2 linked regions of the Stegostoma tigrinum genome follow. The protein of the gene in region 1 purifies or fractionates together with the protein of each later gene. This does not show direct contact. Links are inferred from orthologs where the notes say so. Each region holds a gene or a part of one and is shown in the gene's direction. Other genes may lie near its edges.

The links.
Region 2: the proteins of rnd3b (region 1) and pleckstrin homology domain-containing family G member 5 purify together in Homo sapiens (affinity purification with western blotting; 3 studies listed by BioGRID and IntAct, with this or other methods). This does not show direct contact. The link is inferred for Stegostoma tigrinum from reciprocal best matches to the Homo sapiens genes RND3 and PLEKHG5.

Annotation. Positions count from the first base shown.
Region 1 is NC_081360.1:85,776,274-85,785,022, reverse strand, and holds the start of rnd3b (rho family GTPase 3b), read left to right. Parts: upstream 1-5,443; 5' UTR 5,444-5,834; coding exon 5,835-5,978; intron 5,979-6,287; coding exon 6,288-6,375; intron 6,376-8,749. UniProt on the Homo sapiens protein: Binds GTP but lacks intrinsic GTPase activity and is resistant to Rho-specific GTPase-activating proteins.
Region 2 is NC_081381.1:27,694,160-27,702,134, forward strand, and holds the start of pleckstrin homology domain-containing family G member 5, read left to right. Parts: upstream 1-4,762; 5' UTR 4,763-5,275; coding exon 5,276-5,348; intron 5,349-7,975. UniProt on the Homo sapiens protein: Functions as a guanine exchange factor (GEF) for RAB26 and thus regulates autophagy of synaptic vesicles in axon terminal of motoneurons. Involved in the control of neuronal cell differentiation.

The DNA of each region.
Region 1 (8,749 bases):
AGCAAATTTCATTACACTATTGAAGAAACAAGGAAGCGAATAAACAGGGAACTGCAGACCTGACAGCCTTACATTAGTAACAGGGAAAATGCTGCTCATCTGTTATAAAGATAGTGATAAATGGACACTTGGATAAAAGTGACTAGGGCGGCACAGTCAGCATGGATTTCTGAATGGAAATTCATATTCAACAAATTTATTGGAGTTTTTGAGAATATTACTAACAGAATTGAAAAGTGAGAGTCACTGAACACAGTAGGTATTTTGAATCAACATGTTCAGACATGTTGTGACACATTTCCAATGACAGGGCTTGAACCTTCCAGCTTAGAGGTAGAAATGCAACCGCAGTGCACAAGGCCTCTTATTAATATAATGTGCACAGATTTTCAGAAGGATTATGATAAAGAACACTGGGGGTACAGGAAGTTGCTTAGTAAAGTTAGAGCACATGGGATAGGAGGTAATGTGCTGGCATGGATTGCTGATTAATCAACAGACAGAAAACAGTGAGTACGAAAACAAGTGTTCTTCTCATAATTACACACTGTGACTGACTAGACAAGTAGAGCAAAGATCTATACTAGGGCCCAGTTGCTCACAATATATCAATGATTTGAACATCGAGCCAGTCCTGCCTCCAGTCGTGAACGGTGATGGACAATTAAACAACTCACTGGTGGAGAAAACTCCACAAATATCCTCATCCTTAACGAAGGGTGAGCCCAACACATCAGTGCAAAAGATAATGCTGAAACATTTACAGCAATTTTTAGTCAGAAATCCCAGGTGGCTGATCGTTCAGAGTTAATACAGTTTCATGAAGTAGAATTCATAATTAACCAAGTAATTGGTGTTCTTTGAGGTATGGATAAAGGGGATGCACCATGCTTCAATTTCCAGAAGGAATTTGATAAGGTGCCAAATCAAAGGTCATTACAAAATGTAAAGCTTTAGGCATGTGTTACAACATATTGGCATGGATAGAAGTTTAGCTAGCTAACAGGTAGCAAAGAACATGCATAAATTGGTAATTTACTGGCAGTAAGATGTAATGACTAGTATGCCATAGGGGGTCAGTGATAGGGCCTCAAATTTTTATACATTATGTAAATGAGTTGGATAAAGGGACAGGAAAAGCATGATTGCTCAATCTGCTGATGGTCCAGAGACAGGTAAGAAAATAAGTTGAGAAGAAGACATAAGGAAACTACAAGAGGATATAGATAAATTGAGCGCGTGGGCAAAAATTGGGCAAATTGGGTATAATGTTTTCCCATGTGCAACTGTGCATTTCTGCAGGAAGGATTTTAAAAAAAACAAAGCATCAATTACAGAGACCGGAGACGCAGAGGAATCTGGTTCTCCTACTACATTAATTACAAAAAGCTAGTATGCATGTACTGCAAGTAATTAATAATGGTTAATGCATATTGCAAGGGGAATTGATGACAAAAGTAGGGAGGCATTACTTTGGTTGTACATGGCATGGTGATACCAGATCTCGGCTACTGTATATACTATTAGTCTCCTCGTTTAAGGATGAAAGCAATTGCATTGGAAATAGTCCAGCAAAGATTTACCAGACTAAGACCTGGAATTAGTAAATTGTCTAATAAGAACAGTTTGGACAGGATTGGCTTGTATCAGCTGGAGTCGAGAAGAATAAGAGATGAATCAATTGAAACTTGTAAGAGCCTGGGGAGTCTTGATAGAGTACAGATGGAAAGGATGTTTCTTCTTGGGAGAATCTAGAATTTGATATAACTATTTCAAAATAAGGTTCAATTAATACTGAGATATGGAAACCTTTTTTTTCAAATACTGCCAGAAATATACGGATCTCATTTCCTTAGTTAGCAGTGGAAGTAGTGTCTTTGAATATTTTTCGTGCTGGGGGTAGATAGATTCTTGACAAGCAATGGGGTGAAAGGTTATTGCAAGTAATAATAAGTATTCAGGCTAGCCATGATTTAATGAATGGTGTAGCAGGCTCAATGTGCTGAGTGGACTATTTCTGGTCTTAATTCATTTGTATATTTAATAATGTACATTTGTCCTTCATATCTTTGCCGGTTGTAAGAGTTATCCAGTCTTTTCCCACTTTTCAGCTCATGGCTAACAACTCAGTGTATAATGGTACAAGTCCATAGCCAAGTATTTTTTTCAACGTACTAAAGATTTCCATCTCTATCATCACTCCAGATAGTGAATTTCAGAGACCCACTATCCTCTAAATGAAAAAAAAATCCTCAACTACTCATTCGCTGTTCTACCTTTAAAAGAAAGTGTTCAATGATCAATTCTCAGCTAATGGAAATAGGTTCTCTTGAGCGACTCTGCCATAATTTTCTACATCGTAGTTATAGCTCCCTTCAGCCTCTCATACAGACCCAAACCATCCAATCTTTCTCCACAGTAAAATTCTATTTTCCTGGTAATAACCTCATAAAACTCTTCTGTACGCTTTAGTGTCATCAAGTCATTTCTGTACTATTGTGAACAAGAGCTGTATGTCTTTTTTTGTATTTATCGTGCGTAAACTTCTTAATCATGATTCCTCCCTCACTTCTTTCCACAATCCCCACGCCCGATTAAAGCTAAATCATTGGAATATACCACGAACAGCATGGCACCCCCTACTGACCCCTATGGAAACCTATTAGTCACGGCCTTCCATTCACAGAAGTGTCAGTTCAGCACAATCCTTTGTTTCTTAGCACTGAGCCTAGTTTGGATCCACTTGACATGTCATAAATAGGTCATTCAGCCCATCTTGTCTGTGCCAGGTCTCTGCAGGAGCAACTCAGCTAATCGAACTCTCCTGCATTTTTCCTGTTGCTATACAAATATTAACACCACCACAACCTCTGGCATTGGTAATGTGGAAACATCACAGTCCCCACATCACTAGGTGGATAGGAAAGTTTTGCCTTGTGTCGCTGTTATGTCCAATCATCTTAAAGCTGTTCATTGCGGATCCAGATCCTAGAAAGAGTTCTTTCTCTGCATCTACTCTGTTCAGAATCCTCAAGATTTTAAATTTTATCAAATTTCCCCTCACCCGGCCTTTACCCAAGGAGAACAGTCCCAGTTTCTCCAACGTATCCACAAAACTGAAGATCCGCAACCATAAATCCACTCTTGCAAATCTTTTCTGCATCTTCCCCAGTGGCTTTACGTCCTTACTAAATGGTGCGGTATAGTGTACTGATGAGGGGTGGGACCATGACAAAATCCCTGCTATGGTAGACTACACCTAAACGTGCGACCTATCCTCCTTGCCACCTTCTCCAGAGAAATGCTCTTTTCCCCTCAGCTAAAATCAAACAAAATAATCGCTGGCTAGTGGGAGTTCTGTTGTGCAATAGACTAAGAACACACTTTCTTACGTTTACCACAATGACTATGCTTCAGGAGTATTTCACTGACTGTCGAGTGTTGGGATCGTTAGGAATGCATTCAAGGCTGAGGCAAGATTTTTTTTAGTTCTCGTTTTCAGTCCAAACATTTGTAAGAGTTAGGTATTGCGGAAAATACAGGGGTGTTATATGAGAGAACAAATAACTGCAAAAGTGACATTCCATACGATTCAGGGTGGACAGGGGAAGCAGGACATATCGTGTGACCCACCCCTTGTATGATCTGTTTCTAATAATCCTGTTCCCGACGAGGAGTCGCCGCTGGGAACGCACCTTCCGATTTAAAATGAATGAAACAGAGCTGGTAATATTCACGGTCTGCGTATTTCCGATACAGATTTAATGACGGAACCGCCCGTCAAGTGGAATCCCAAAAACATCCTGGTTAAACTTTGCTTATGTTCCCGTCATGGAAAACAGACAGAAACTTGTTCCTTTCCCCGCCTTCTCGAAATAGATTACTGAGCAGCCTTATTGTTCCATAGATCCCGCCCAGAGTTTATCAGCGGGGATTTCCCTGACCCCTGGTGTTCTCAGTACTACATTTCTGTTTTAATATCAGCGTAAAACCACCGGCTCTTTGATCTCACTCTTCCTGACCTCCGTTTTGAGCTTTTACTGCCATTTCTTTGTCGTGCCTTTCCCGTTGTGAATTCCAGCCACAGCCCTTCTCTCAAATAATTCTCTTCCACCACTACTTCTGGCTGTTGCTATAGCCAGATATCTTCACCCATTTTTGTATTGTTAAATTTCGTGAAGATCTCCATCCTCACATCGCCTCGTTCTACAGGTTAACTGGGCATCCAATTTACTCTGTCCAACTCTCCGGCTGCAGAACAGATTTTATTTTAGACTGAAGAGGGCGTCAGATTAAAATACCGGGGGACTTTTTGCTTGCCTTTTTTTCAGCGTGGTGCTGTCGTGCAGCATATCCAGAAAAAAAATCATTTCTGTCGCTGTTGTTGTACAGTAGTGGCGTTTCCATCCTTCGACTCGTTAAATAACGTTTCCTTGTTTCAATTTTGACTCATACGTACACCTTAATAACAGGGTTACAGGCTTAGTCTGAATTTGACTTCTCCTGACTTTAAGACGTTGAGGGAACTGCCATGTATTCCTAGCATTTTTTTTAAAGACTTACAATTATTTCTTTCTGAATCTTTTTCAGTCTTCCGCACCAATGATACGACCGAACGATGAGACCAATAGGCGAAGCTTGGTGTTGCAGATAATCCAGATAATCGAACATAAAGCAGAATGGATGATTAGAAGTAAACAAGTCCCCCTTTTTGCTAGAATAACTCCACACAAGAAGTCTAAACTTTCTTGTGCTAGAAATAATTTTGCGAAGATGATCTGAAAACAATTACAACATCCACACAGTAATGACTTTATTCATAGCATCTGTGTCATTTCGACCTTATTAGGCACGTACTTTGTTCTACTCTTCTGCATAACCCTTGATTCCTATCAGGACAGATATAATAAATCGAAAAGTAATAGCACACCTTTGGAGCAGGTGTGACTTGAATCCAAGCCTCCTGGCTCAGAAGTAGGGACGCTACCACTGCACCACAAGATATGTTCGGAATTAAATCAAAGCAGCGATATTTAATCTCTGAAAGGGTTAAGAGTAGGACCTGAATGGTAATACAGATGGAATCCAAAAGTGACCACATGAAGCTGAGGTCTGCATCATAGGGCTCGGTTGGTTAGCAATGGGGAAAAAAATGGGAAATTCTGCGCTTGCAACATAGTTGGTTATGAGAATATGACCCTTTTCCCTGCAGTAAGCAGTGGGAAGCAATGAACTGCCGGCAGCACACTGACTGATTCTGGGCAAGGTGGCTCCTCCGAATGGCAAGGGAGGTAGCCAATGGCAACGCGTCAGGGTGCGTCACAATCACGCGGTGAGCCAATCGGCTTTGGAGGAAACGGGCACGGTCTCTGGTCCTCTCAATGGCGTGAGCGAGGACCCAATCAGCGACGAGAAGAGGCGGGATTGATTGGCGTCGTTCATTGAGAGGGTTGTAGTCCGGAGCTTCAGGCTTGGAATAGAGAAAACTACGCTTCTGGACTACTAAGCCTCAGCCTGATTCTAGCTCCACCCTTAGTCTATGTTGCTGAACGGGGCTGGCCCAGAGGTCCCCACGGACTTGGAGATGTTATATGAGAAGGTGCACGGACCCAAAGCAGCAGTAGTTGTGGTTGGAGCTTCCAGTGCTGGGGAGGCGGGTGGATAGATACATAAATATAAGCCGCAAGACTCTCCGCTTTTTTTTCCCCCAGAGAAGAAGTCAGTGCTCCTCACATCACCGTCTACTTTTAAACGGCTGTTTGCCACCAGCGTTTTGCAATCCGGCGATATTTTGTGTTTGATTTTTTTTTAACCCTCACGCCAAATCTACGTCAATGAAGGAAAGAAGGCCAAGCCAGAAGCTTGCTAAAAACGCAATGGATAATCAAACCGTGAAATGCAAAATAGTTGTGGTGGGAGATAGTCAATGTGGAAAAACCGCTCTGCTGCACGTTTTTGCCAAGGATTGTTTCCCGGAGGTATGTTGTTATATCTGAATGAACGCCTATGTGAAATGACTAATGCTTCTTTTTGAGTTATAATTTTTCCAAAAACCCGACGCATTTTTTTTCTTTTGTCATTGTGAATGAATTTTTAACATGTGTCCCTGAATCAACGTTCTTAACGGCTGGGATTCATTTTACGCAATTTAACAACTTTCAGTTCCTTTTCAAAACGAATGTAACACGTGCAATTGTTTTAAATACTTTCTTTTTTTTGCTTTTTGCGTTCTTCTTATGCCATCTGTTTTCAAAATGTTTTGTGTCTTCTACTTTCTTTGTGCCCAGAGCTATGTGCCCACGGTCTTCGAAAATTACACAGCCAGCTTTGAAATAGAAACACAAAGGATAGAGCTGAGTCTCTGGGATACTTCAGGTAAGGAACATTTGAGGTCTAGGACTGTCAAGTACTGTTGGATGAACCCAGGCAGCATCTTAAAACACCTTCCAGGCTTCAACCATAATCGGTTGAGTAACCTGGCCCTTCTCCTTCAAGGGAACAGTTGGGTTTTATCCCCGACCCAATGGGATGTTTGGGAGACTGATATTCCAACTAGATTTTGTGAACACCGCTGACCGAAGGCTGAACAAATGGGGCTGGTGTCAGTACGTGGTTTGCCTTTATACAACTCAGACCCGGCTGGTTTAAATCGCATTCTCTCGGCATTCCAGGTGTGAAGGCAGGTTGACCCACTGATGTTTTATAATGGTCAGGATCTTAAAAGGAAAAAAAAGTCGCCCGCCGAGAGCACTCCTCCTGCCTGTCGCGTTGCTCCAGTTGTCTAAGTTTCCAATCTAAAGCATTGAAATCGGGGAATGCACATTCCTTTCAATTTTCCGGTTCAGTTGGGGTATTTACGGGCACGGCGGGAGGGGAGAGCTAAATTGGGAAGATGCCAGTTCCTTACTCCTCCGGAGGTTTCCCTTTTTTTCCACTCCAGAGACTTGAAACGTTTGTAGGGGAAGAGAAGAGAAATGGACTTACCCGTGCGAAAATTTAATTGCACCTCAAGTCTCGGAAACCATCCATCCACCGCATTTCCACCCTGTTTATTTACTGATCATAATGATGGTTAAACCTCTGCGTGGGCGCATTTCATGCAATGATTATATTACCGTTTCGAAGAATTCTGGAAGCGATCGTGGTGAGATGGTCCAAAATTCTTCAGCCAGAATTTGTGAGCGTTCAAAGTGTTGTCTTCTCGGGGCGCATCAAAGATTAAGCGCGGAGGCGAATTGAACGCCTCGATCACCGCACTGGAGTTTGATTGCTTGCAAAACTCTGTGCCCATTAACTATTCTTTAAACGGTTTCCATCTCCGTGATCCCACGGCGCTGGAATGTCCCCTTTCCAGACTGGTATGTCAAGAATTGCGTTGACGAGCCATCAAAAACTGCCCGCATCTCAAATTCGAGCGGCTGCGAGAGAGAGAGAATGTCGCCCCCTGTTATAGATCAGTCGCTATGTCCATTCTCTCTGCTTCCCTCTCCACACAATGTCGCTCGTTACATATTAGGGAGGTTTTTTATGACTCCAAATTTTACACGCTACTCGCTACTTCGCTACTCCAAGCTTAAAAACTGTTCATTTGGACAAGAATAAGATTCTTCCTCCGTCATATTTCTTAATTCTCCCGCTGTATGTACCCATTTTATACCCAATGTACTATATGAGATTCCTTTTGGGCAAGATGATCTTAATTTTGAAATTATGCCTGTTTTAAGGTACTGATAGCAAAATTCAGACAGTAGTTATAAATCCTATAAGCAGACAACTCAAAACACCTAACAATTAAAGCTGACTTTCTCAAAGTCTCTCCTTTTCTTTTAAGTTTGTGAATCTGAATAGCTAACTGAATACATGTATCCTCTAAGTTAGGTATCTTAACTAACTGTGGAGAGCAGTCAGAAGATTTGATTTTGAAACTTCCCATTTTACAATAATGGAACACCTTGGATGGGGCATTCCAATTTTATTGTACTAAAAATGAAATTTAATGTTTGCTTAGATTTTAGTTTCCTCTCTCTGGGAAGCAGGAACACTGTTTTTCTTTGAAAAGTGATGTGGTAGGAATATCTTGACTTGGATACGCTTTCACTGCATGTGATAATCTGAGTGTTGTTCCTGATAATATTTGGTTAACTTCTCTTACTCCACAGCGTTGACTATCATGGGCTGGTTAATTACTCATCCCTCTTAGTAAATTTAATGACCCAGGACAGTTATGTAGTTCCAAACACATTAAGCATCCCTACTGAAACAAAGCAAGAGCTTTCAAACAATTTATGAAGGCAAGTGTGGTGCTTGTTATTGGGGCACCTCCCCTCTAATACCAAAGCAACGGCTTTACCAGAGATCAGAACTCCCCGTGCACCCAAGATTCCTATATTCCTTGTTCTCTAATTCAAAGTAGCACTGACAGAGGCTTCTGAGAAGATGTACCATTTACGTTTGAGGTCCAGCAGTGATAATGAACTTGGCCCATCTTTTGTTAAATGGGCTCATTTGTGTAAATACACACACTGTGATGCATGGTTTGAGAATAACTCCCTCAAAATACTCAAGGATTGTTTTAAGCTTGTAATTAAGTTATATTTCTTTAGAGATTATATAACCTAATGACAGTGAACATATATCAGAGTTTCTTGCAAATTTCAGAAATAAAATTTAATGTAGTGTGTGAATTGATGTGAAGATTTCTAATGAGGTTAAGCAAAAATAATCACAATGTAGATGATTCCATTACAAG
Region 2 (7,975 bases), on another chromosome or scaffold:
TCCCCCTCTCTCCCTAATTATTCCAGAACCCTCTCCCATCCCCCTCTCTGATGTAGGCCCGAAACGTCGGCTTTTGTGCTCCTGAGATGATGCTTGGCCTGCTGTGTTCATCCAGCTGCACACTTTGTTACCCTGATTTTGCTGTTGTTTTCCAATTGCTGCAATTCTCTTGGCTTGTTGGAAAGCTTGGATTTGTGGTGATGTAAGTGTTATTGATTGAGTTTAGATTAGATTCCCCACAGTGTGGAAACAGGCCCTCCGGCCCAACAAGTCCACACCGCCACTTGAAGCATCCCACCCAGACCCATCCCCCTATAACTGACACACGCCTGAACATTACGGGCAATTTAGCATGGCCGATCCACCTAGCCTGCACATCTTTGGACTGTGGGAGGAAACCGGAGCACCCGGAGGGAACCCATGCAGACACTGGGAAAACAGGGAAAATGTGCAAACTCCACACAGACAGTCACCTGAGGCTGGAATCAAACCCAGGTCCCTGGTGCTGTGAGGCTGCAGAACTAACCATTGAGCCACAGTGCCGCCCCTAAGCCATCGGTGAATTTAACATTTTCCCAATCAATAGAAACCTTCAGTTTTTCAGACCTTGATGGAAAATGGTCAAAAAGCATAGCATATTTATTCAAATGTAGCAGTAATATAGGAAATATTGAAATTGCAATAACTTCAAAACTTGTTCTGTTATGCTGTGAAAAATTATAACATTTTTCCCAGCATTACCTAAAGAACAGATACTCAAACTGGGTTTTTTAGGTTCAGTGGGTGCTGGTTCCCATAAATACCAAAACATGCATTCCAAAGACATTGACACTCACTGGGGTATGGGTCTCATGAGCTCACTGTCTGGATTTCAGCATCCACACACACTGTCGCTTGCTGGAGTATGAATCCTGCAGGCACTTGTTTCAGCTGAGGTATTGGTTTCACAGGTATTGGCTCACGTGGATGTGGGTTCCATGGTTGTCAGCTGTCATGGACAACATTTCACGTGCAGTTGAACAAATTTGCTGTTTGTACAATTGCTTTACTAACAACGAGCTTACCGAAAGACCAAATTTTCCACATTGAAATTTAAAATCTGGATCCATTCCATCAACCCTTACTAACTGAAGCAGGCTTTCATAATTGGCGAGTGGCCTGGCCTTGCTGGGAGCAGGGATGAAAGAGTAGTGAATGTCAGTCAGACTCAGAATCTTGTCTCCCTTTGGGAGTGATTTACATCTTGAAGCTGATTATTGGATAGGTGTTAACTGTGGCCCCGTTGTAGCAATTCTGTCAATATTTAATGTTGAGATCATGCTAGGCCTCCTAAGGAAAGAAATCTGACTACACAATGCAGTCATCTGTTATGTGCTACGCCTAATGTTCCCTCTGAAGAATGGTATGCTGAAGAAATACATTCTGCGATATAGAAATGTGCTTCTCGTTCCTTCAGCCAGTCCACTGCCTTCACACCTGCTCATTGCACCAGAAACAAGGAACTGCTAGAAATCCCCCTTTTAACTATGTGTTTCTATGATCAAAGGCTAGCATCTGGGACTGGTGGGAGATGCCAGCCTGACCTGGGCAGCACCTTCAAGTACCTGCACAGTGTTGAAGCCAAGATATTTTCCTGGTTGAGGTAAGAGGGTGACAACCAATGGTTGATACAGTGTGGAGAGCCTCCATGTTGATAAAGTTGCTCAAGGTTTTGAAGAGGGGAAAGACATGTGGTTCTGAAGAAGGGTCACCGGACCTGAAATGTTAACTCTGTTTTCTCCTCCACAGATGCTGCCAGACCTACTGAGCTTTTCCAGCAACTTTGTTTTTGTTCCTGATTTACAGCATCCGCAATTCTTTTGGTTTTTGTCAAAGGCTTCTGAATCTTACTTGGCAAGTAGCTACCTCCCAATTTCAATTTGCCTTCTTTAATGGCATTACCTATGACTTAATGTCGCTCCTGTGAGCCATGAACTCAGGCTGGATTGCCTCAGTAAACACAGCAATGGCGGCCTCTCTGTTACACTCTCCTTTTCCACTTGTCACCTCCATGGGAAAGGAGAAAGAAGTTCAATGCAGCTCCTGAAGCCAGAAAGCAGCTCCTCTGCGTCATGAGTTTTGTTCTTATTTTATTGTCGAGTACAAATGCTTAGTTGTGGAAGTTGAAAGCAAAAAAAAGACCAGGTCAGCCCTGAAATGGATACTAAATTTTGGTGCACTTGCAATACACATAGTACTGTAATAATTGCATTAAATTGAAAAGCAAGGTGGTGGCTGATGTTGTTATTCAGGAATGTTGCCTTTTATTAAATAAATCTGCACCCAAACTAATGTATAAGAATGCACTTTAAACATAGGACATCTATAACAAAGGAAAAGTTTGACTAGACGTTTCTACCCCAATCACATTCTGCCAATTACAGTCCCTGATCATTATCCTGCCTCTCTGCTTCCTGCTGCTTAGCTAGTCTTTTAGAATAGAAACTAAGACAATCGGAGGCTCACTGATGATGTTACCTAGAATGGTGACGAATCGTCTGAAAACTAACCTTCCAGCTCAGCGAGCAAACTCACATCCAGAAACTCAACCTGAGCTATAAATCTTCTCAAAAATCGCTAGAAACAAAGAACTGGAGAAATTCAGCAAGTCTGGCAACATCAATGGAGAGAAAGACAGTTAATGTTTTCAGTCTGATTTGATTTCTCCAGAGCTGAACGGAACTGGAGAGTGATTGTTTTTATGTTGCTGACAAAGATGGAGGTTGCGTAGTTGGAACAAATTGCGAGGGAGCCCAGAGTGAAAGACAAGAGGGGTGCTAATGTTGGTGATGGAGATGTAAAACAGGTATAAATGAATGTGATTAAAGGAGAAAATGGGTCCAGTCTATTGAGACAAATGTCAGCATTACAGGATACATTGGCAGTATGTAAGAAAAATAGAGACAGAGGTCATGCTCCAAAGTTGTGGAATTCGGTGTTGAGTCCTGAAGGCTGTGAATTACCCAAGTGGAAAATGAGGTGTTCGGATAGCTTGTATTCAGTTTTGTTGGAGGCCCCACTCAGAAAAGTTGGCATGGGAGCAAGGTGCTTTATCGCAGTGACAAACAACAGGAAGGCCAGAGTTGGTCTGACAGACAAGAGGGGAGGTATTTCACCAAGCGATAACTACCATCTGGTCTTTGCAAATGCATTCATCCTAAAGTGAATATTTTCATTATTCATATATCAGTGTTACTGCAGCGACAGTCCCTCGTTCTAATTGGATTCCCAGTTTTAACATTCAGTTACCTATTTCAGGACAATCTTCTGAGCTCCACTGATTTTTGTTTGTTTTTGTGGTTTGACCATGGGTTGAGGGAGGGAGTAAGTGTGACCACTCAATGCTGACCACTAACTCCTGCTGGAAAGTTGATGGGTAGAATTGTACTGTGTGTGATGATTTCTGGTCAAGTTTCCTGTTGATGCATATCATCTGTGGTCACAGCTGATGAATGGCATGGTGAGATGTCAGGGGGAGAAGAAATGTGACAAAGAAACTTCAGGAGTCAGCATTTTCAGGAGGGGAAATGACTTAAACCCCAGCGAGATTCCATACCTTCAAGAGAGCAGGGGTATGAACTACTGTGAGAGCTGGCACCTTCAGGAGAAGAGGGAGGTACTGAATCTTGTGTAGACCAACACCTTCTGGTTAGGAAGCTCTTGAACACATCTGAGAGTCAGTGCCTTCATGAGGGCAGGGAACCTTAATCCCAGTGAAGAGAGTGGAGTAAACACTTTATTTGTGCTGTGAATTTTCCCAGTAGAATCCAGCACTGAGCTGTACTCGTTTGTGGGGTCCCCAATGACTGTAAGTTGCTTCACTATGCTGATCGTTGCTTTTCTTTGGTTCATTGTATGGGATAGATCCAACCAGGAACCCCTTCACTCCACCCTCAGTGAAATCCTGGCTCGCGATTCAAACCAGCTCAACGATTTAGCTTCCTTTTAGCCTTTTTGCAGATGTAATGAGGTACAATCCACAGGAAACTCTTTGTTAAAGCACACTTTACAAAAACAGGAGTCTTGGACATGTCTTTTAAAGTTACAGTTTTTTGAAAAAATATACCTAACAGTTTGATTTAGGAATGAACTGGTGAAATTGTTTTTACTTTTATTTAATTGGAAAATTTTGGAGAAAATTGTTGAGCTTTAGAACCCAATGCCGGATTATCTCCTGGAAACCTTTGTGCTGCCTTTTTAAGAGACAGAAAGCTTCAGCCGATTTAATTATCTCCATATGTTGATCCTGGCTGTTGCAGAAGGACTTGGCACAAGAATCGGACTGCACAGTGGCAGAAAATAAATATGGGCACCGCATGTTTGTGGCTGGGGAGAAAATTCCATCTCTGAAATATTTGGGCTGCTTCAGACAGATCCTGTAAAGGTAAACATATTGGAGAGGAAATTAATCTGCAGTCTAGTCAGAGGAACAGGACGCGGCAGTGGTATACGAAACAGAGACAAACTTTCAGGGTCTGCACAGCGAGACAGTGCTCAGGCTGCAGAATGGTACTACCGTATTGTGAAGAACTCTTGCTGCTATGGTGATGGGCATCATGTGGGTGATGCTGAAGAAATCGAACTTTGTGAATGTTGGTCAGATATTGGAGGGTTTGGCTTCAGTGAAACTGTCTGAGTGAGTCAAGTTAAAAAAAGAATAGCCAAAAGGGGAGCAACAGAGAAAAAGGGAGGGACGGAGGGAAAGAAAGGGTGAGAAGAGAAAAGGGAGTGGCATAAAGGGAAAAGGAACGACAGAAAGGAAGCAATGCAGTGAAAGAAAAAAGTACAGTGAGAAGAAGATGCAGAAGAAAAGAGAGGCAGTGAAGGAAAACGAAAGAAACGGGGTAAAAGGTGGATTATGAGAGAAAAACGTTGAACAGTGAAAACCGAATAAAGACAGAGGAAAGCAAAAAGAGATTTTAAAGAAAGGATGAATGAGAGTGATACTCAGGTCTGCTAGAAAGGAGCAAAATGAGAGTGGGAAGGGAGACCACCAAAATGAGACAGGCACCAAATAAGGAAGACTGACAGCAATACAGGCAAGATTGAGTGAAATGGAAGATAACGAAATATACTGACCCTGGGAATTTGATGAGAAGAATTTAGTCCCTCCTGTTGAAGCTTGTGGATATTTTTAGGTTGATGTGTGGAGAGAAAGTTACTCTAAAGCTGCCTGTCCAGCAGTTGTTTGGAGCTCAGCATTTGACTTAAGGTGGCATTGTCTGCAGGGCTGACCATGAACTCTGTCCTTTATAAATACGGATCCCCACCTCGAAACTGGTTTAACCTGCGCCTCAGAATGCAGCCAAGTAAGTACTCTGATTAACCCCTAATAATGGGCCAGTGACTTCAGAGGGTGCAATTGGGAAAAATGAAATTATTTTATTAAACACATTGCTTTGATAGAAATTTTCAGCGCAAACTTTCAACTTAAATTGGAGATATGTTTGCAAAGAAGAAATTTCCAAGGCAATGAACATGGTGTGGGACTAACTGGATAGCTCTTTCAAAGAACCAGGCACAGGCTTCATCCTGTGATGTAAAACTCTGAGAATTTAAACTTGCCTAAGTATTACTGCAATTATAATCAAGCGTTCAATAGCAGTTTGTTTGTTCATTCATTATTGTTGGCCATTAAAATTATTAAACTTAACCTTTCTGTCAAGGAAGCTACTGATGAGGTCCCTGTGATGGCAGTGTGCTTTGTTTTAGTTGCTAAAGGAGCCATATCAGTTGCAACCATGAACTATTCAGATTAGAATAATTGTTGAACATGTGTTATACATCTTTATGTAAGATTTATACTTAACATTAAACTTCTGGAACCAGCTGGTTTTAAAATTTTGTCTCCTCCAATCCAGAAGGAGCTGGCTTTCACTGTGATTTGACTCCATTCTTCTCTTGAAGATGTTGAATCTCACTTCTGTTCCCTTTGAGCTCCCATCCCCACTGCCAGCCTCTTCCCCCACCTTGGAAAACAGAACAGTCTCAGATGCGCTGCCTTCCAAAGTCAAATTCCCTGATCAATTTGCTTTACTGGGATGGCATTCCAAGAATGATCAGTACCTATAAAACCCGCAACCCAACAATGATCAGTACAGAGTATAAAATGTGAGGCTGGATGAACACAGCCAGGCCCAGCAGCATCTCAGGAGCACAAAAGCTGACGCTTCAGGCCTAGACCCTTCCTGTTCATCCAGCCTCACATTTTATTATCCTGGATTCTCCAGCATCTGCAGTTCCCATTATCAATGATCAATACAGAGATGGTGGGGGAAATCAATGGATTAATGAGATATTAAACAGGGAGTAGATGACGAGACAGAAAATCAGGAGCATAATCCATACAGTTTTTCTCTGTGAATCATTTCTTGAGCTGTTTTTACAGATAACACAATCTAAAAGCCAAATACTGTGAATGCAGGAAATCTGAAATAAACAAAATGCTAGAAATGTTCAGCAGGTCCGGCAGCATCTGAGGAGAGGGAAACAGGGCTAATGTTGACAGTAATGATCTGGGATATTAGAACATAGAACATTACAGCACAGTACAGGCCCTTCAGCCCTCGATGCTGCACCGACCTGTGAAACCAATCTGAAGCCCATCTAACCTACACTATTCCATTATCATCCATATGCTTATCCAATGACCATTTAAAGGCCCTTGAAGTTGGCGAGTCTACTACTGTTGCAGGCAGGGTATTTGAAGCCCTTACTACTCTCTGAGTAAAGAATCTACCTCTGACATCTGTCCTCTATTAACTCTATTTTCTGTTGTCACAAATGTCACCTGATCTAGGTATTTTTCATTTTTTAATCTGTCATTCAGTATTGTTCATAGAAGCCTCTTAACAAACCAGAAGTCTAGCCACAGTTACTAATTTTAGTATAAAACTTCTCAGATATTTTAATCAACCTGCTCAGGAATGTTACGACACATCTCTGGAGCGGGTGGGACTCGAATCTGGGCCTCCTGGCTCAGAGGTGGAGATACTACCACTGCACTACCAGACCCCTTATCTAAAGCTGTCTAGCTCACAACACAGGTAAGCGTATGTCACATGTGGATATTTACTTCCACACTTGCCACCCATTCATAACCAAGGAACTAAAACACTTAATGAACAACACTACTCACGCAGCACTACTTTTGTTTTACCATTTCACCATAAATTGCTAGAAAGTTTAAAGTTCACAAATGTGCATTTCACAAGATACGATCATCGAGATCATGGGCTCAACAAAGTGGCCAATTACTAATTTACTAATCAGAAATGCAATTATCCACATCTGGAGTCTGAATTAGTCAGTTGTGGCTCACTTATTGGACAACACTGCTGTATTTTCCAGCCAGGACATTCTCCTTCCTGTTTTCGGAAAAAGGGGAGAAGCCATTTGGAAAGGAGAGTTTCCCGGCGGTCTATACGGAACGTGCTGTTGGCTGCTATGGAACCATACTCCCCTTAACATTCTGTCCATGACTTTTCCTGCATTGAAATAGGACACCCAACTGAAGGAATAACACTCGATGATTTGCAACAAATATTTTATTTGAATGGCCTGTTAGCAGTAAATTTCATTTCCGTTTAACCTGCTCTGGGACCTGCGGAACTGCATCCAGTTTTGGGCACGACAACTAAAGAATAATATATTGATTTTGGAGACAGTACAACACAGATTCCCCAGAACAATATCAGGGCTCAGCGATCACAGGTTGCATAAACTTCCCTCTTATTCACATGAGTTTAAAAATTCAAAGGGGGATCCAATTGGGACATTTTGAATGAAAAGGAATTTAATTAGTTTGAAATAGAGGGAAAAAAATCCTTGCTGGGGTAACCTAGAACAAGGGGACACAACCTAGCCATATAGGATCAAATTAAGGTAGCACTTCTTCACATAAAAGTTCATAGAAATCTGGAACGGTCTCCTTTAA